Elephas maximus indicus: one gene and its partner. The protein of the gene in region 1 purifies or fractionates together with the protein of each later gene. This does not show direct contact. Links are inferred from orthologs where the notes say so. Each region holds a gene or a part of one and is shown on either strand. Other genes may lie near its edges.

Region 1 (10,082 bases):
ATTTGAGAGTAAGTTTCCAACATGTCATTACCCCCAGTAGTTTTCGTGTTAAATTACTACCATCTAAAAAAAAAAAAAAAAAAAAAATTTTTTTTTAACCTTCAGACCCCATTTAAGTTTCACTAACTGTCCTAATATTATCGTTTAGAGCAAAGAATACAGTTCAGAATCTACTACTGTTGCATTTAGTTATCATCTCTTTGATTTCCATCAGTCTGGAACAATTCCTTACCCTTTCTTTGACTTTCATGACCTGGGCACTTTTGAACATTACAGACCAGCCGACAGTTCCTCAGTCTGAGTTGGTCAGATTCATGACTGGACTCAGGTTATGCTTCTTCGATAGGAATATCACAGAAGCGATGCTATGTTCTTTTCATTGTGTCCTCTCAGGAAGGGTTTCAGTTTGTATTATCACTGATGATGGCCCCTTTGATTACGTGATTAAGGCAGCGTCTGCCACTGTGAAGGTGCTCTTCTCCCCTTTGTAATTAACATGGATTTTGCAGGAAAGTACTTTGAAACTGCAAATATTCTATTCCTCCTCAAACTTTCAATTTATTCAATTATTCGTATTGTTAGGGACTATGTTTTCCCAGGAATCCCTGGAGGTACAGTGGTTAAGAGCGACGTCTCCTAACCAGAATATAGGCAGTTCAAACCCACCAGGCCCTCCTTGGAAACTCTGTGGGGCAATCGGTCCTACAGAGTTGCTATGAGTTGGAATTAACTTGATGGCAATGGGTTTTTTTTTTTTTAAATATGTTTTCCTGATTTACTTAATGAATTATAATCTCCTGATTTTAATATCATTATTTATTTTGATGCTTAAATTGTTCTGGATTTGGCCACTGGGAGCCCTTTCAAGCTGGCTTCTGGGTATTTTTGATGCACCCTTATCACGCTTTGAGCATTTCCTTCTTTTCTGATAGAACAAGATGTTTTAGGCTCATCTTGTACTTTCCCTTTCCTAACCTTGGAAACAGCCATCTCTCTTAGCAACTCTGGCTCCTTTTACTGTTGTGCTGTTAGTTGCCACTGACTCCAAGTCGTGGCAACCCCATATGAGCAGAATAGAACTGCCACATAGGGTTTTCAAGGCTGCGATCTTCCAGAAGCAGGTCACCAGGTCTGTCTCCTGAGGTGCCTCTTGGTGGGTTCAAACCATCAACTTTTTGGTCAGTAGTTTGTCCTATAGGGTCGCTATGAGTCCGTCGGAATTGACTCGACGGCACTGGGGTTGGGTTAGTTTGTACCAGCCCGGAATTCCTTTCCTTTTACTAGAGAATGGTTAATTAGAAGGCAAGATCCGGGTATTGGATGTGCTCACTGCTATTGGGATGTCATTGTTCCCAAGACCTCTCAATGAACAGACCTAGGGAATATATGTATGTATATACATGCTTACCTCTGTATTTCTTTATATGCCTACTGAAAATCACGGATCCACACGAATAGCTCCAATTTTCAGCCCAACACAGGGCTCATTTTCCCTGTCTATATTTGTAAATCCCTCTCTGACAGTGATAAAACCCATTAAAAAAAAACCTGTTGCTGTTGAGTCGATTCTGACTCATAGTGACCCTACAGGACAGAGTAGAACTGCCCCATAGGGTTTCCAAGGAGCGCCTGGTGGATTCGAACTGCTGACCTTCTGGTTAGCAGCTGTAGCTCTCAACCGCTATGCCACGAGGGTTTCCCAACAGTGATAAACCTAGCTCCAATTATCCTTAATATATTTGCCTATTTGATCAATCCCTCTGTACATGACCAGTCTCTCACCTCTACTCCCCCCACCTCCCCTCCACGGATGTCCTCCTCACCCTGCCTATGCACCAACACCAAACACTATACCACCTGCCACATAGAAGCCCTCCTCAAACCACTTTGGCTCTGACACCCCAGGCCATTCTGCCCCTTACATGGACACTCTCCTCATCTCATTTAGGTTCTGATAGCCAATGCTAGGCAGCCCTCCTACTTGGATGCCCTTCTCACCCTGCTTGGGCTCTGACACCGTACTCAGACTTCTGTCCCCTAACCCTCATTTGGATGTTCTCCTTACCTTGCTCAGGCTCCAATACCCTGTGCTGGGCTGCCTTCCCGTGTGGGCACCTTTTTAAGCCCTCATAAAGCTTTGTCTCTGACTACTCACCATTACCACCACATGTGGACACCCTCTGTAACCTGTTTGGGGCCCAAAAACCCTGCTCAGGCAGCCCTTCCATGTAGATGCACTTCTTACCTTGCTTGCTCGCTAACACTCTGCTCTGGGCCACTGGGGAACCCTACGGTGTGGACATTTATTTTGCTTGACCCATTAAATAAATGGCTTTAGCACTGAATGGTTCTGTAAGGTAAGCAAAGGTAAGGGGAAGAGGAAGCGCCCCATAATAATTGTAATGGACCCTCACATTATGTAGTCCAGTCTAAAGCCCAAGGTTGACCCTTGCCCATTCTGAACTGGGGCTGCAATGCCAATTAATTTTCTCCACGGCACTACCAAGATTTAAATAGAATGAATTGATTCATTAGAAATAGCCATATGCTAATAATCACTGAAGAACATCATGTTTGGTAAAGTAGAGGGGCAGAGAATGAAAGAGAAACCCTCAGTGGGATGGATCGATACATTAGCTGCAACAGTGAGCTCAAACATACCAAGGATCATTAACATGGCTCAGGACCAGGCAATGCTTAGTTCTGTTACATATAACGTCACCATTTGGAGCGGCTGGACGGCAACTAACAACAACAGGAATCACTGAGAACAAATACAACTTGTTCCTTTGAATTTTACTGACTTGAAGTATTTAGCAAACTGCATAAAATTTTGCAACATCCTCTTCCCATGCCCCCCACCTGAGTTTTAGAGGTTCCTGCTGGTACAGTGATTATGCACTTGGCTGCTATCTGAAAGTTTGGCAGTTCAAACCCACGAGCTGCTCCATTGGAGAAAGATGTGGCAGTTGGCTTCTGTAAAGATTTACAGCCTTGGAAACCCTATGGGGCAGTTCTACTCTGTCCTATAGGATCGCTAGGAGTCGGAATCGATTCAAGGGCAATGGGTTTGTTTTTTGGTTTATCAAGAAGGCTTTTAACAATTACATTAAATTGGTTAAAGAAATTCATCCGTCAGCAAATATACTGAGGACTATATAGAAATACAGTCTAGAAATACCACAAGTGGGTGGCTTTAACAAACAGAAATTTGTTTTTTCACAATTTTGGAGGCTAAAAGTCCAAATTCAGAGTGCCGGTCCTAGAAGAAGGCTTTCTCTCTATAGGAGAAGGCCCTCGGCTCTACTGAGCTTCTGCTCAATCTTTCTACGTGGCTTGGCATCTCCCTTCCCCCATCTGTTTCTCTTGCTTCCTTGTTTAAGCTCTTTTATATCTCAAAAGAGATTGACTCAAGACACACCTACACTAATCCTGTCTCATTAACAGAACAAAGACAACCCATTCCCAAATGGGATTATAACTACAGCCATAGAAATTAGGATTCACAACACGTTTGGGGACACAGTTCAATCCATAACAGTGACCTACTCTATGTACACTGTTGTGTACTGTGTAAATACCATGCTGTGTACTCCCAACCAGCATTCCAGAGAGGATACGCCGTGCTATGCCCTGTACATTATACTGCCTTCTCTTCAGACGGCAAGGAAGGGGGAGCTTTAGTGTATGTGACAGGGTATACATGCACTCACACAGATATATGTGTATAGCATGTATGTATGTGCTTGTGCTCATGATTTTAACACACATGCAGCCACACACATTATGGACACATTTGCCTATCTCTATGTCATTATATTTTGAACAGATTATGTACTTTTCTGCAGACTGTGCTGACACCTTAGTGAGGTTCTGGCAGCTTTGGGTTTCTGAGGCCTCTCATCCCTGCAGCCATCCTCTCACCCTCACATTTGGCCTGTGCTGTGTGTATGGATTTCAGAAAGGATAAGCACTTGTGAGGAGATGTCACTTCACTTTCCTGCACGAATTTACCAATGTTCAGTAGCCGGAATCAGAGCCCCTCTTGAGCTAGACAGAGGCCCTGGCAGATAATCCTGCCACCCCCACCCCAAGAGTCTACATGCCTGAACTACATCTCTACAGAGGTAACAAGCCTTTCATGTGTGCGTGCCACAGATTCTTTAGCCTTATATGTATCTGCATGCCCATCTGGAGAGCTCCTAATGACACAGATCTCTCATTTTCTATTAAGGAGTGAAATCAGAGGTGTAAACAGTGGTTCGGGAGTCAAATCCCTTTTGGAATCTTGGCCCACCGCTTACAATCTTGCATGACCTTGGGCAAGTCATTTAACCTCTTTAAAATTTAATATTCTTTCTTATAAAATTGGAATAAAAATAGGGCCTACATCAAGAGGCTGTTGTATAGATTAAGGTAGGTTTAGAGTTTCGTAGAGAGCCTGGCATTTCGCAGGTCACCAGTAAATGTTAGGCGTTCTCATTATAAGTTACATGTTCACCTCTGCATTTATCTCTATATACCTATTGAGAATCATGAATCCACAAGAATAGCTCCAACTTTCGATCCAAAATCCACTTTTTTTCCCCCTTTTGCTCCACCACTCACCATGTGGACCCACCTCTGTGGGCTCCTGCAGAGCAAGAGAGAAACAGGATAAGGACTTTACACATATGTGGCCTATTTCACTGATTCTACAAGCCACCGGTTTTAAGATACACAATTTAAGAAATTATATTATAGCATTAAGAAAGAAAGATACGCTGCCATTTATCCTATGAAATGCCAAACGATTGTAAGATTCATCCCAATTGCATAGATCTTACGATGGCAGAAGAGGCATCTATTCTTGGAATTGTCGACAAACGGCAAGTATTCAAAACATAGTACACATCTTTACACGCTAAAACACACAACACAGATGTACCAGATACGCACTGATGACTCGTCTCCGGTGTTCACCTGCGACGCCACTCTCGCCCCTCACTTTCGGCCAGAATCCGGGCCCGCGCGGCCAGCCTCGGGCTGAGTTTCACTTTCCATTCTGTGGGAAACGAAAGCCGAGGGGCTGCGGCCCACGGGGCGGCGCGCGGGCGGAGGCAGCACGGGCGGCGCGACGGGGCCGAGCAGACGAAAGGCAGACTCGGCCAGGAGCGCGGCAGACGAAAGGCAGACTCGGCCAGGGGCGGACGGCGCCGCCCAGCCCGTTCCGGACAAGGGCTCCGCGCTCCTCGCCCTGCTCGGTCCTGCTCTGCCAGAGCTCGTAGGGGACCGGGCAAAGAGAAACCTTCTCTGCGTTCCAAGAATCGAGCTTAACAGCGGAGGCTTGGCGTTTTCGTGGCACTTGAGGCAAGTTTGATGGTAATTTTGGAAGCTTTCTTTCCAGAAAAGACATCCCTTGACACTCAGTTCAGATGCCATCTGGGTAATTAATGAATGTATCTGGGCTCTTTTGTAATAACGGTGTGTGTTTATTACATGGACATATTGAGCCTATGTATTTTTTCCCCCAGACTAATATATTTATTTGGGCTTCTTGCGTGACTTTGTGTTTTACTTAAAAAAAAAAAAAAGTTTTGCGTGCTCATAAAAAATTCAAGCAACGTAGACAAAATATAAAGGAGAAACAAAACTTTAAATCTTCAACTCTGTCATGTATGTGTACTTTTCTAGGTATTCTCCTGTGCCCAAGTCTTTGAAAATCAAAGTGAGGTCATTCTGTAACATTGCTTTGTAATTTGTTTTTTCTACTTAACAGTATATTATGGGTATCTTTTCATGGCAGGACATATAGAAAGGCCAACCTCATTTTATTTTAAACTTCTGTATAATATGGGAAGTACATAATCTGTTAAATGGTTGGTAGATTTTTAGGTTGTTTCCAGTTTTTACTGGTATAAGTGATGCAACAGTGAATATCGTTTTATGTACCCAAAACCAAAAACCAAACCCATTGCCGTCAAGTCCATTACGACTCATAGCAGTCCTATAGGACAGAGTAGAATTGCCCTATAGGATTTCCAAGGAGCATCTGGTGGATTTGAACTGCCGACATTTTGGTTAGCGGCTGTAGCACTTAACCACCACGCCACCAGGGCTTCCACGTTTTATGTATACATCCACGCAAATGTACAAATCTATTTGTGGGCAATTCCTAGAAGTGGAATTACTGAGTTCATAGGCATAGTATTGAGAAATTTCAACTATTCTGTCAAATTGTGCAAATCAGAGTAATTTGTCCTTAATTCCTCTGCTCACTCCAATTTTTTTTTTCCTGGAAAAGAGCCAAATTTAGACCTTGAGACAAACATAAGACTCCATTCTATGTCCTCTAAAAATCTAGGGTTCAAAGTGTTTGACAATTAAAACAGAGGCTTTAACTTCTTAACAGCGTTGAGGTAGCTATACTTTGAAATCCTGCAAGAAAATGAGGCAGATATTTGAAAACATTTTTAAAAATTCATGTGATGTTTTCTTTTTGCTATTGTAGTATACAGAGTGGAGCAGAGGATTTAATCGGCCATCTAGGTAATGCAAACATCCTCCCTCCTCACTTTTGCTTCCATTTCTGAGGAAAGTAGTTATTAATGATTGAATTATTTGAATAATTTATCACATTTTTGCACTTTAATTTTAATGTGTCATCTGGACTTGTAAATCAAAAAACCCATTCCTGTCGAGTCAATTCCAACTCATAGTGACCCTGTAGGACAGAGTAGAATTGCCTCATATGGTTTCCAAGGCTGTAAATCTTTATGGAAGCAGACTGCTACATCTTTTTTCTGTGGAGTGGCTGGTGGATTTGAACCGCGACCTTTTGGTTAGGAGTGACGAGCTTTAACCACTGCACCACCAGGGCCCCTTACCTGGACCTATGAGTAATTAAAAAACCCAACCCAACCCGCTGCCGTGGAGTCGATTCTGACTCATAGCGACCCTATAGGGCAGAGTAGAACTGCCGCATAGAGTTTCCAAGGAGCGCCTGGCAGATTCAAATTGCTGACCTTTCGGTTAGGAGCTGTAGCACTTAACCACTACACCACCAGGGTTTCCTCATTACATTTTTTTAATATGATATTTTTAGTAGTTCTGGGGTAGCTTTTTAAATTTTTCTTCTTTTCCTGCCTAATTTTCCAGTCACTATGGGATGGTTTTTGTGTGTGTGTGTGTGTGTGTGTGGGGTGGAGACTTTTGGGGGGAAGACAAATGAGAAAGGTTTAACTGGGGCACCTCACCCATGAGTGGAAATCCCAAATGCACCCAAGAATCACAGTCCCATTCCATGGAGGGTCCTTCAGAAACGCTCCAAGCCAGCCTTCCCATCCAGTCGATCCGGTCCGCCTTTGATTCTTTGAACAGGTGAAATAATCACAGAGACACAAATAGTATTTATTTTCAGGTTACCAAATTAAGAATTGTCCTTCAACTTTGATCACTTTGATTTTAGTTTGAGATAATACTTTAACTCCTCAGACAGTAGTGAATCCAGTTTCTAAATTCCAGAGCCAACGTGGTCTTTTTTTAAAAAGCACACCTAATTGTGTGGTATCCCTGTTCAGGAACCTTCAGTGGTCTCCCGCTGCTTTTAGCACAGCATCAGAAATCTGTACTCTGGCCGAAAGCCCTGCAAGGTCTGGTCCTCACCTAACTCTCCAACCCAACCCAGGCTGAAAAACAACCAGATTCTGTATGTTTTCTAATCATTCCAAAGTAACTGGATATGGAATAATGGTCGGAATGAATAATGATAATAGCAAATACAAAATAAAACCAGATGTTGGCATCAGATATTTAACTTTTTTCCCAGAATTTCTTCTCAACTATTTGAGTAGGACACAATTTAAGGAAGCCGTCAGAGGCAATACTAAAATTGAAACAAGGATTCCTTATACAATAAATGAAATATTACAAATGAAAAGCTCAACTCCTTTACTTAAAATGTCGCCATAAAATGCTAATGTAGCAAGGGAAACAGGCAGGCAGACCTCTGATGGTGAGTGAGAACTGGGCACATTTCTGATAAGCTAAAGTGTTCATAACCACTGAGCTCAAAATGGATAGGAGATTAACACAGGGTCTGCATCTCTATCTTGTTTTGAATGGGAAACCCTGGTGGCACAGTGGTTAGGTGATATGGCTGCTAACCAAAAGGTCAGTAATTCAAATCCACCAGCTGCTCCTTGGAAACCCTCTGGGGCAGTTCTACTCTGTCCTATAAAAAAAAAAAATTTTTTTTTTTTTTGGAATCGACTTGATGGCATTGTGTTTGGTTTTGGGTTTGGTTATCAAAGAATAAGGAGTCCCTGGGTAGTACAGTGCACTTGGCTGCTAACTGAAAAGTTGCAGGTTCAAGTCTACCCAGAAGTGCCTTGAAAGAGTGGCCTGGTGATCTACTTCAGAATAATCAGCCATTGAAAACTATGGGGCACAGTTCTGCTCTGACACACATAGGGTTGCCATGAGTCAAAACTGACTTGATGACAACTGGTGTCAAAGAAATTAGGGGAAAAAAAGGCAAACTTTTTGGTGTTTTTTTTTTTTCCACTGTTAGAAAATACCTTGCACAGTCTTGCACTTTTACACAGTGATGGTCTTCAAAGGGGAAAATGTTTAATGTAAACACTCTTAAAGACAGTAAGTCCTAATCTCTTCCAAATGGGCTGTAGCTTCGGGATTCCCTATTATTTTGGGTTTCATCTGGAATATTCTAATCTGTGTGCCCAGCCTATTACCATTACTCAAATGTGAACACATGACTAAGAATCAGGTCAGAGTTTGTTTTTTACGTGATGGGGGTTGGATTTGGAAGACAGCGAGACTGCTGCAAGCATGTTCCTGGCATGTTAATTTTGTTCTTCTTAGGGCATTTAAGGTCGGAGCTGGTTTATCCTGCAGAGAGTCTAGTTGTGAGTGAAGAGTCCAGTTAGAGACTGGGACCACCTCAGTTTTCCTGCATCACGTCCCCTGGCCTTTTGCTGTGAAGAGTGATTCTGTAGCTACGATGGTGGTGAGCCTGCCTCAGCTGCTTCCGTCGTTTACATCTCCCCCTGGTTTTAAGGGTAGAAAATTCAGGAAGGTGGGAGCTAAGTCAGTTTAGTATTTTGGGGCCATATTTTTGAGTCAGAGGTTGAGTTTGAAAATTCAACTTCCTTGGAATACATGCAGCCTCTCCTGTGGTGAGGAAACCCTGGTGGCGTAGTGGTTAAGAGCTATGGCTAATAACCTAAAAGGTCAGCAGTTCGAATCCACCACGTGCTCACTGGAGACTGAATGGGGCAGTTCTACTCTGCCCTATAGGGTCTCTGTGAGTTGGACCCGACTTGATGGCAGTGGGTTTTTTGTTCTTCTCTGGTGGGTGCTTGTTCCCACCTGCTTGGCGTAACTGCTTCCTCTCTTGCCCTTCCTGCCTTTCCCTACCCTGTTCAGATTTCTGAGTTTCACTTTCCTTCCCTTGTTGACTCGCCTACCTTTCGCACCCTGTGGTCAGTCCTGCCGGTTGCTGCATTGTGCTCTTGTTGCTTTGGACCTGGCCAGCCAGGCTGCTTCCTGCCATATTTTGCTGAATGAAGTATTTGTGAGATCTTGGCAGAGTGCGAGACAGTGTCTCTGGATGATGCAGGCTGGTCCATTCTGGCTCATCAGATTTCCCTCAGTGATGGTCTGAACATCCTGCATCTTGCTGATAAAACTGCCTACTGCCATTTTTCCTCTTTCAACTTACTTCTGCTAGGATGTCCTGTTAGGAAACCCTGGTGGTGCAGTAGTTAAGAGCTTGTTTGCTAACCAGAAAGTGGGCAGTTTGAATCCAAACCTATTTAATACCTGTCTTAGTCATCTAGGCTGCTATAACAGAAATACCACAAGTAGATGGCTTGAACAAAGAGAAATTTATTTCCTCACAGTAAAGAAGGCTCAAAGTCCAGCTCCAGGGGAAGGCTCTCTCTCTGTATTGGCTCTGGAGGAAGGTGCTTGTCCTCAATCTTCACCTGGTTGAGGAGCTTCTCAGTGCTGCTTTCAGTGCTCCTGGTGTTGCTTTCTTGTTGGTATGAGGTCACCAACTCTCTGCTTGCTTCTTTTTCCTT
Region 2 (10,593 bases), about 62 Mb from region 1:
TAGCATAGTGGTTAAAGTGCTTGGCTGCTAACCAAGAAGTCAGTGATTCCAACCTACCAGCCACGCCATAAAAAGAAAGATGTGGTAATTGGCTTCTGTGAAGATTTACAACCTTGGAGACCCTACGGGGCAGTCTACTCTGTTTTACAGGGTCACTATGAGTGGGATTCGACTCAATGGCAGTGGGTTTGGTTTTCTTACACCTGGTAACCACTAATAACCTTTGGTCTCTATGCTGTTGTTGTTGTTAGGTGCCGTCGAGTCAGTTCTGACTCACAGTGACCCTATGTACAACAGAACAAAACACTACCCAGTCCTGCACCATATTCACAATCATTGTTATGCTTGAGCCCACTGTTGCAGCCACTCTGTCAAACCATCTCATTGAGGGTCTTCCTCTTTTTCCCTGACCTTCTACTTTACCAAGCATGAAGTCCTTCTCCAGGGACTGATCCCTCCTGATAACATGTCCAAAGTATGTGAGATGAAGTCTCGCCATCCTTGCGTCTAAGGAGCATTCTGGCTGTACTTCTTCCACAACAGATTTGTTCCTTCTTTTGGCACTCCGTGGTATATTCAATATTCTTCACCAACACCATAAATCAAAGGTATCAATTCTCCTTTATCTTTCTTATTTATTGTCCAGCTTTCACATGCATATGAGGCAAATGAAAACATCATGGCTTGGGTCACCCGCGCGCCTGAGTCCTCAAAGTGACATATTTGCGTTTTAACACTTTAAAGAGGTCTTTTACAGCTGATTTGCCCAGTGTAATGTGTCATTTGATTTCTTGACTGCTGCTTCCATGAGTGTTGATTGTGGATTCAAGTAAAATGAAATCCTTGACATCAATCTTTTCCCCATTTATCATGATGTTGCTCACTGGTCCAGTTGTGAGGATTTTTGTTTTCTTTATGTTGAGGTGTAATCCATACTGAAGGGTGTAGTCTTTGATCTTCATCAGTAAATGCTTCAAGTCCTTTTCAGTTTCAGCAAGCAAGGTTGTGTTATCTGCATAATGCAGGTTATTAATGAGTCTTCTTCCAATCCTAATGCCATGTTCTTCATTACACAGTCCAGTTTCTCACATTATTTGCTCAGCATACAGATTGAATAAGTATGGTAAAATGATACAACCCTGACGTACACCTTTCCTGACTTTAAACCACAAGTATCCCCTTGTTCTGTCCAAACGACTGCCTCTTGATCTATGTACAGGTTCCACATGCGCATAATTAAGTGTTCTGGAATTCCCATTCTTCACAGTGTTATCCATAATTTGTTATGATCCACATAGTCAAATGCCTCTGCAGAGTCAATAAAATGCAGGTAAACATATTTTTGGTCTTCTCTGCTTTCAGCCATGATCCATCTGATATCAGCAATGATATCCCTCATTCCACGCCCTCTTCTGAATCCAACTTGACTTTCTGGCAGTTCCCTGTCGATATACTGCTGCAGCCACTTTTGAATGATCTTCAGCAAATCTTTACTTGTGTGTGATATTAATGATATTGTTTGATAATTTCCTCATTCCATTGGATCACTTTTCTTTGGAATAGGCATAAACAGGGATCTCTTCCAGTTAGTTGGCCAGGGAGCTGTCTTCCAAATTTCTTGGCATAGATGAGTGAGCACTTCCAGCCCTGCATCCGTTTGTTGAAACATCTCAATTGGTATTTTGTCAATTCCTGAAGATTTGTTTTTCGCTAATACCTTCAGTACAGCTGGGACCTCTTCCTTCAGTACCATCAGTTCCTGATCATATGCTACCTCCTGAAATGGCTGAATGTCAACCAATTCTTTTTGGTATAGTGACTCTGTGTATTCTTTCCAACTTCTTTTGATGCTTCCTGCATTATTTAATATTTTCCCCATAGACTCTTTCAATATTGCAACTCAAGGCTTGAATTGTTTCTTCAGTTATTTCAACTTGAGAAACGCCGAGCATGTTCTTCCCTTTTGGTTTTCTAACTTCGGGTCTTTGCGCATGTCATTATAATACTTTGTCTTCTCGAGATGCCCTTTGAAATCTCCTGTTCAGCTCCTCATCACTTCTTCTGTTTGTTTTAGCTACTGGACACTCAGGAGCCAATTTCAGCATCTCTTCTGACATCCTTTTTGGTCTTTTCTTTCTTTCCTGTCTTTTTAATGACCTCTTGGTTTCTTCATGTATGATGTCCTTGATGTCATTCCACAAATTGTCTGGTCTTTGATCATTAGTGTTCAACATGTCAAATCTATCCTTAGAAAGGTCACTAAATTTAGGTGGGATATACTCAAGGTCATACTTTGGCTCTTATGGACTTGTTCTAATTTTCTTCAGCTTCAACTTGAACTTGCATAGGAGCAATTGATGGTCTGTTCCGCAGTCAACCCTGGCCTTGTTCTAACTGAGGATATTGAGCTTTTCCATCGTCTCATTCCACAGATGTACTCAATTTGATCCCTGTGTATTCCACCCAGCAAGGTCCACATGTATAGTCGCCATTTATGTTGGTGAAAGAAGGTATTTGCAATGAAGAAGTCATTGGTCTTGCAAAATTCTATCATGCAATCTCCAGTGTGTTGTTTCTACCACCAAGGCCCTATTTTCCAACTACCAATCCTTCTTCTTTGTTTCCAACTTTTGCTTTTCAATCACCAGTAATTATCAACGCATCCTGATTGCATGTTCGATCAATTTCAGACTGCAGAAGATGGTAAAAATCTTCAATTTCTTCATCTTTGGCCTTGGTGGCTGGTGCATAAATTTGAATATTAGTCGTGTTAACTGATCTTCCTTGTAGGTATATGGATATTATCATTGATAGTGCTGTACTTCAGCATAGGTCTTGAAATGTTCTTTTTGACTATGAATGCAACACCATTCCTCTTAAAGTCGCCATTCACAGCATAGTAGACTATATGATTGTCCAACTCAAAACGGGCATGCCAGTCCATTTCAGCTCACTAATGCCTAGGATATCAATGTTTATACATTCCATTCCATTTTTGACAATTTCCAATTTTCCCAGATTCATACTTTGTACATTCCACGTTCTGATTATTAACGAATGTTTGCAGCTGTTTCTTCTCATTTTGAGTCAGCAAATGAAGGTCCAGAAAGCTTGACTCCATTCATGTCATTAAGGATGACTCTAGTTTGAGGAGGCGGCTCTTTTCCAGTCGTCTTTTGATTGTTTTCCAACCCTGGGGGCTCATCTTTCAGCACTGTATCAGACAATGTTCTGCTGCTATTTATAAGGTTTTCACTCGCTAACTCTTTTCAGAAGTAGACAACCAGTCCTTCTTCCTAGTCTGTCTTAAGCCTGGAAGCTCAGCTGAAACCTGTATGCTATGGGCAACCCTGATGGTATTTGAATACCAGTGGCATAGCTTCCAGCATTACAACAACACACAAGCCCCTACAGTACAACAACAAACTGACAGATGCTTGGTCTCTGTACATTAGCCTGTTCTAGCTATTTCAAATAAGTGGGATAAGTATTTGTCCTTTTCTGACTGATTTACTTCACTCAGCATAATGTTTTCAATCTAAAAACCTTCTACGACCTCTGTTAATCTCCGATTCTCAACGTGAATTATCAACTTTGTGAATAACCCAGAAATTTCACTAAAAACTGGCTTTTTCTGTCACCAAGCAGGCTGGGTCGTACATCTTTCTTCCCACCTTTTCCTGTCCACTGCATCTGATGTCTTTTTGGTGAACTACAACTTATTCTTGTTGCAGCCTAAGCCTAACAAAATAGAATAAAGCAAGCCCATCTGTGATCTAAAAAGTCATATGATTTTATTACAAGGCAAGGAAAAATGTTTGAGATGGGAGAGATTCTCCTCCACCAGCATGAATCAGCTGCCATTCTACCTTGTAAATAGGTACAGGGAAGGGGAGGGACTGAGCAGGGGCTCCTATTTTTCATTTTAACCCTTTTAGCAGTGCTTGACTTTTTTTTTTTTATTAATTTGACTGTGGTAAAATATACATAACAAAAAAATTGCCATTTTAACAACTTTTTGTGTACAATTCGGTGACATCAGTTATGTTCACCAAGTGCTTGGCTTTTTAAACTATGTACCTGCATTACTTTTAAGAAAGAAAATATGAAGAGTTTTCAGTTCTCAAGGAAGTAATCAGCTGAAATTAAAAGAGCAAGGCAGCCAGTAAACTAATTATGAAAGAAAACCTGGTCTCCCCATATGGACCGCAAACATTGTGAGGTGAAGGGCTGTTAACATTTTACTTTTCCTCCAATATCTCTCACTCTCTTAGGCACATATTTATGCTCAATAAGTTTTTCTAAAAGGAACGGAATTTTCTTTGTGGCCTTAGGCAAATCATTTCGCCTTTCTGTGCCTTATACTTTTTACGTAACAAATAAGGATAAACCGTATGCACTTTTGTACTTTTTTTTTGTGAGAATCAAAAATGATGCACACAAAAAATAATAATGCAGATCAGAAGGTAAAAGCGTTGGCTGAGACAGTGAACTTATGCAATAATGCCAGGTTCTGGGCCTCGGAGGCTGCAGGAGAATTGCAGGAGGGGGGCACTAGGGTTTGGGAGCTAGGCTGGACAAGAGCGGGAAATACAGGGCAGAGCAAGTGACGGCTCCTCTTTCAACCTCGGGACAGAAGCTGCCCCCTCCAGTGTGTAACCCCCATGGCTTCTCTCCCTTCGCAGGGAGGAATCCGTGCCCCCATCCCCTCCCGCCCTCTCAGAGCCGGTACCTGATTGGGGTCGCAGTCCCCGCTCCCACCGGTGGCTGTTGTCGAGGCCCCCCGTCCCCAGAGCGAGCTCTGCACCAGGACCTCCCGCCCAGTCGTCAGCTTCGGTCCAACCCTGCTTAGCGGGCTTCGGTGGGCGGCTGAACCCGGAACTCGCGATTCCCAGCCGGGCACCAGGACCCTAGCTGCCACTCAACCAAGCCCATCCTTGGCTCCCCTAGGCTGCGAGCTCATTGGTGCCGCCACAACTCCGCCCCCTCTGTGGGAACCGAAACCACACCTTCAGCTCCCGCGATTGGGGGGAAAGCTCGAGTAAGCCCCGCCCCGTACCCGCGGAGGGAAGGAATCCAATTAATGGAATAGCCCGAAACAGCTGATTTCCGAGAATCTGAGTCCCGGCCGCGGAAGCGAGACTGGCCCAGGACCCTGGGGGCTTTAAGGGCTGGGTACAAAGAGGTGGGACCGGAATTTCGGTGTTTAGAGGTTGGAGTCCTGGTGGCACAGTGGTTAAGAGTTCAGGCTGCCAGCCAAAAGGTCGGCAGTTTGAATCCACCGCCACTCTTTGCAAACCCTCTGTCCTCTAGAGTCACGAGGAGACAGCCCGAATCGACTTGATGGCAACGGGTTACCCTTTTACTGAGGGTGCCTTGCTAAGCACTTTAGATTCATTGTACCACTTCTCACTTCCACGGCAACCAATCGAGGTGAGAATCATTATCTCCATTTTAGAGATTGAAAAACTGAGCTTCGAAAAAGACGTTGCTTGTCAGTGATGACAGAAGCACAAACATGTGGAATCTGGATCCAAAGCCAAATCCTTAGACTCCAAATTCCAAACTTTTTGATTCCTACATTTTACAGCACTGCCTTCCTCCTGAATAATGAACCCGATATTTAGAATTTGATCACACACATAGAAATTGTCAGAATATTAGATTTATTCCTTCTGTTTGTTGTTGTGTGCCTTCCAGTTGATTCTTGACTCACAGTGACCCCCATGTGATAGAGTAGAACTGCCCCAGAGGGTTTTCTTGGCTGTAATCTTTAGGAAAGCAGATCCCACGAGCCACTGGGTGAGTTACAACCGCCAACCTTTTAGTTATCATTGCCCCACCAGGGCCCCTTTCTTCTGTGTCTACAACCTTCTTATAGCCCAAGACTCCCAGCCTCAGCGTCTAAGTAATGGATCTTGAGTGGGCCCCACCTCCCATGGGAAACTGAACTTAACTACCTCTGACACCTCTGAGGCCATAGTTGTTGTCCACCCACCAGACCACTCATATCTGTGATGCCCACTAAACTTTTCTCTAGTCTCTGGTTGGGGGGTGTTTGTCTCTTTCTCATAGTAATACTGGATCAACCTCTCAACCCCAACCTTCACTGCAGGCTTAAGTGCAGAGTTGATCAACAGTCCTGCTGGGCCCCCTGATAGCCCTGCCATGGTCACCAGAAGGTCATAACCCAGGTCTATGGCTCCATCTTGGCCTCGTTCCTTGGCCTTTTCCAAGCAGTTCTGAGCAGCATAGTACAAAGCTGAACCCAGGTTGTAGTAGGTTCCCACCATCGGCAACCAGCGGAGTACACTTTGCACACTCTGCTCCTGCTCCTGCTCACAGTCCTCGGTGGAGAGGAAGCGCCGGGCTCTGTCTGGGCCTGGCTGCTCCCTGGCCAGTAGCTGCACAGCAGAGATTAGGGCCTCCACTGATGCTTCACCCTGTATGCTTCCGCCTTTCTGGAGCCCTTGGAGATGGCGGTTGAGGAGCTGTGTGGCTTTCACACCTCCCAGGCGGTAGAGCTGACGCTCCACAGTCCAGGCATAAGTCTGGCAGCCAGCCTCCTCGAGGGCATTCCTCAGTGCCAGGCCTATCAGGAACCTGGGCAGAGGGGCCATGTGGGTGAAGCCAGGCAGGGACTTCGGGAGCAGTAGCTGGCAGAACAAGAAGTCTGAGGAGGGTGGCTGGGATCCCAAGGAGGTAAGGCGCATCGAGGCCTTTGTCTGGGTTCCATATGAAATGGCATCTACCACATGCAGCGGGAGGTAGCAAAGAAGCAGTGCAACTGGCATCATGACGAGCCTGAGGCCACCCATGCCTGGAACAGAGCACGCTGGAGTGAGAAGAAGCCCAAAACACCGAAAACATTTCCCTAAGTGCTGTGATCTGAAAGGAACCTAGGACTTGGGGGACCTCTCATCTATCACCTCCAAGCTTCTCTTCCTTTTAGATAAAGACCTAGGAAATGGGAAATGGGACCCAATTGTTCCCATCTGGCCTCCCCCATTTTCAGGTCACCAGGGGCTTCCTCTGCTTTACTTTCACCCACTTGTAAACCCAAAGTCAAACCCCTTGCCATCTAGTCAATTCCGACTCATGGCGACTCCATGTGTTACACAGTAGAACTCTGCTCCATAGAGTTTTCTTTTTTTTTTTTTTATAATTTTTATTGAGCTTTAAGTGAACGTTTACAAATCAAGTCAGTCTGTCACATATAAGCTTACATACACCTTACTCCATACTCCCACTTACTCTCCCACAATGAGTCAGCCCTTCCAGTCTGTCCTTTCGTGACAATTTTGCCAGTTTCTAACCCTCTCTACCCTCCTATCTCCCCTCCAGACAGGAGATGCCAACACAGTCTCAAGTGTCCACCTGATTCCATAGAGTTTTCTTGACTGTAATCTTTATGGAAACAGATTGCCAGGCCTTTCTTTCACAGTGCCACTGGGTGGGTTTGAACCACCAAACTTTAGGGTAGTAGCCAAGTGCTAATCATTTGCATCACCCGGGGACCTCCACCCACTTATAGGGGCCCCAGATTACCACACGGTCCAGTCATTGAGAAGTGACACTGCCCTGGTAGGTTTGGTTTGGTTGCTTCTCGGTCCTGTTCTGCCCAGTTGTGTATCCTGTGAGAAGGGGAGATATTTGCTTTCCCCTATGACCAGTTAGGGATGTAATCTCTACAAATATTTGCCCATTTGTACTGGTTGCACAAACCTTGTCCCCTTGTCACATACTCATCTTCAATACTGAAACCCCTGTCCTGTGGCATTTCCTACATATCCCTGCCACATGCCCACTTTAGTTCATAACAGAAGCCAGGGAGACCCAGAGTCAGGAGAGATTAGATGTCTATGATTCTCTTTTCAGCTTAAAAATTAAATAAGCTACAGCATTTAGCTGGGGGGATTTAGACAGTGCAGAGTAGATGAATGAGAAAAAGTTAAAATATTTCTCATGCCTAAAAAGCAATTACTGTTGAGTCAACTCTGACTAGTGGAAACCCCATGTGTGCCAGAAAAGAACTGTGCCCCATAGGGTTTTCAATGGCTGGTTTTTTGGAAGTAGATCGCCAGGCCCTTCTTCAGAGGTGCCTCTGGGTGGACTTCCACCTCCAAACTTTCGGTTAGTAGCCTAGCTCCTTAATGTTCGTACCACCCAGGGTCTCTGCCTGTCATGCCTAGAACTTATCAAATACACAATATTTGATGACTGAAAGCAAGAAAAAGAAAGAGAAGATGGGATAAGAAATAGGGGCTGGGACCTACTAGGAGGAGACACCAGTTACATGTGTCTTTTAGCACTGGAATGAAATGAAGAGGTATATCTGTCCTACTTTGTCTCTATCATTTCTAACTATCTGCTGTGTCCCCTTCCTGAACACAACCCTGAGGAAGGAGACTCATTACCTAGGTGGCATTACGTATCTGAGGTATACCTGAACAAACTCCTGACTCTATACTCCTATAAAGGCCTTCAGTATAGCTGTGGAATGTTTTTACAAAAAAAATAAACATTTTGTATCTAATCATCCATAGACAATGACAATAAGAGGTTCTTAATTTGGGGGCTTCTTCAGCCTTTTGCCTAATTCTTCGAAATTCTCCCAATACTCATACTTTAAGTTCTTGGTGGTGTTGACAGAGGGAGATTTGAACTATGGCACCAGCAACATGAGAGATAGCTCTTCAGCAAACTCAATTACCATCTGAAGTAAATGAGAGACCAACTACCCCAGTAGGTGTACTCTCCACTGTGAAATACTCCGCAGAGTGGACAGCTGAGTGCTGGGTTTACCCAGGCTCCCCTGGGAGTTCCCCCAAATCTGTCAGAACGAGCTCAGCATTGTCAATCTTTTCTTCCTCATTGAGCTTTTGAATCTCACAGATGAGGGTTACAGTGGTGTCCTTTCCTCCCATCTGAAATTGCTAAAACTGCAGAAGGTGGGCCTCAGCTGGGCAGCCAATCTCCTCCAGAGCCACCCTTAGAGCTACACTGGACAGGTACTCAGGCAAAGGGGCTGGAAGGGAGGAGAGAGGGCTTTGAGGAAGAGATTCCAGCAACTGATCTGTGAGAAGGACCTGGCCTGAGAGCATGTTTGGCAGAGGCCCCAGCTCTGTGTAAGATGGCTGGAAAATCAGGTCCCCATTCTGGACATTTTTTGGACAGGCAGCCACTGGAGACAGCAAGACACAGCAAAGGAGTGGCAAAGCTTGCACCATAGTGGAACAGCGGGAATAGCCTGCTGGAAAGAAGCAGTGCTCAGGTTGGAAGGTGGGGAAAGCCCTAGGGTGCTTTCTCTGAGGATAATGCAAGGGCTAAAAAACACCAGATGAGTAACAGTGAAGAAGTATCTCAGCCCTTGGAAACTCTGATTACCTTAAACACACCTCACCCTAGCACTTAGAGGCTGTGGGAGATCTTCATTGTTCTGAGGAAAACACAAGCCAGAGGAACAAGACAATCCAAATATCTTTTTTGCTTTAGTTTCTTTATACCTGTGTTTCGGATCCCACCAATTAAAGAAATATTACATTTAAGCAATTTACAACTATATTAATCACATATTATTCCATGATTAAAATTGATAATAAACATTACTAAGGATTCTGAATGGTCTGATACAGGAGGAGGTCCATGGTAGGGGATGACACCATGACTTACCACACTGGGTGACACCAACCCTAATGATGTAACTGTCTAAATCTACACCAAAACTCTAGGAATTGAGCTTTATCTGTTTTTTTTTTAAGGGTAACTCCAGTGCAAAATTTAGGGGAAGAAGGATCTGGTGGCTTCTAAATACAAATTCCCACATATTATTGTGTCATAAAGTTTCCTCTGGTGCTGTGATCTGCCTCTGTCAGACAGCCAAAGGGAACAACAGGCCAATGAAAGAGGTCCAGGATCCCTCCATTTCATTCACGTCTCAGGAGGGGCTCCTAACAACTAAGAGCAAAAGAAGAAGAAAGAAGAAGAGTAGGTCTCTAGGGGCACAGGGCCAAAACTGAAAGAAGCAAAAACTAGGTGCAAAGGAGTCCAGCACTACCTGAAATTAACCAGCTGCCACTGAGTTGACTCTAACTCATGGTGACCTCATGTGTGTCAGAGCAGGACTGTGCTCCATAGGGTTTTCAACGGTGGATTTTTTTTAGAAGCAGATCACCAGGACTTTCTTCCAAGGTGCCTCTGGGTAGACTTGAACCTCCAGTCTTTCAGTTAGCAATCAAGTGTGGTAACCATTTTCACCACCTAGGAACTCCCATTATTAACCATATACTTTATTAGGATTTCACTGGTTTTTCCACTAATGTCATTTTCCTGTTCCAGGATTCAATGCAGGATACCATATTGCATTCAAACTTTGTTTTCATTATGGCATTTTTCAAGTACACACAAAAATAAGGAGTCTAGGTTTTTTTTTTTTTAATACAATGACACCTCATATACCCTTTACCCAGCTTCAAAATCAAACTTTCTGTTGTTTATTTTTCAACCACCCCCTCATTTACTTATTTTAATTTAAGTAATTTATTTACTCATTTGTTTTTGCTGAGGGTATTTCAAGAAAAGTGTTGGCTTAAG

What was found. The genes of interacting proteins can lie anywhere in the genome.
Region 2: the proteins of USP18 (region 1) and STAT2 purify together in Homo sapiens (affinity purification with western blotting; 6 studies listed by BioGRID and IntAct, with this or other methods). This does not show direct contact. The link is inferred for Elephas maximus indicus from reciprocal best matches to the Homo sapiens genes USP18 and STAT2.

Annotation. Positions count from the first base shown.
Region 1 is NC_064822.1:54,742,225-54,752,306, reverse strand, and holds the start of USP18 (ubl carboxyl-terminal hydrolase 18), read left to right. Parts: upstream 1-5,147; 5' UTR 5,148-5,361; intron 5,362-8,862; exon of another isoform or gene 8,863-9,007; intron 9,008-10,082. UniProt on the Homo sapiens protein: Interferon-induced ISG15-specific protease that plays a crucial role for maintaining a proper balance of ISG15-conjugated proteins in cells. Regulates protein ISGylation by efficiently cleaving ISG15 conjugates linked via isopeptide bonds.
Region 2 is NC_064822.1:116,323,878-116,334,470, forward strand, and holds the start of STAT2 (signal transducer and activator of transcription 2), read right to left. Parts: upstream 4,936-10,593; 5' UTR 4,870-4,935; coding exon of another isoform or gene 4,733-4,869; intron 4,574-4,732; coding exon of another isoform or gene 4,460-4,573; intron 1-4,459. Other genes in the region: APOF (apolipoprotein F), read right to left, coding at 4,460-4,573, 4,733-4,869, 5,010-5,171, 5,999-6,818. UniProt on the Homo sapiens protein: Signal transducer and activator of transcription that mediates signaling by type I interferons (IFN-alpha and IFN-beta).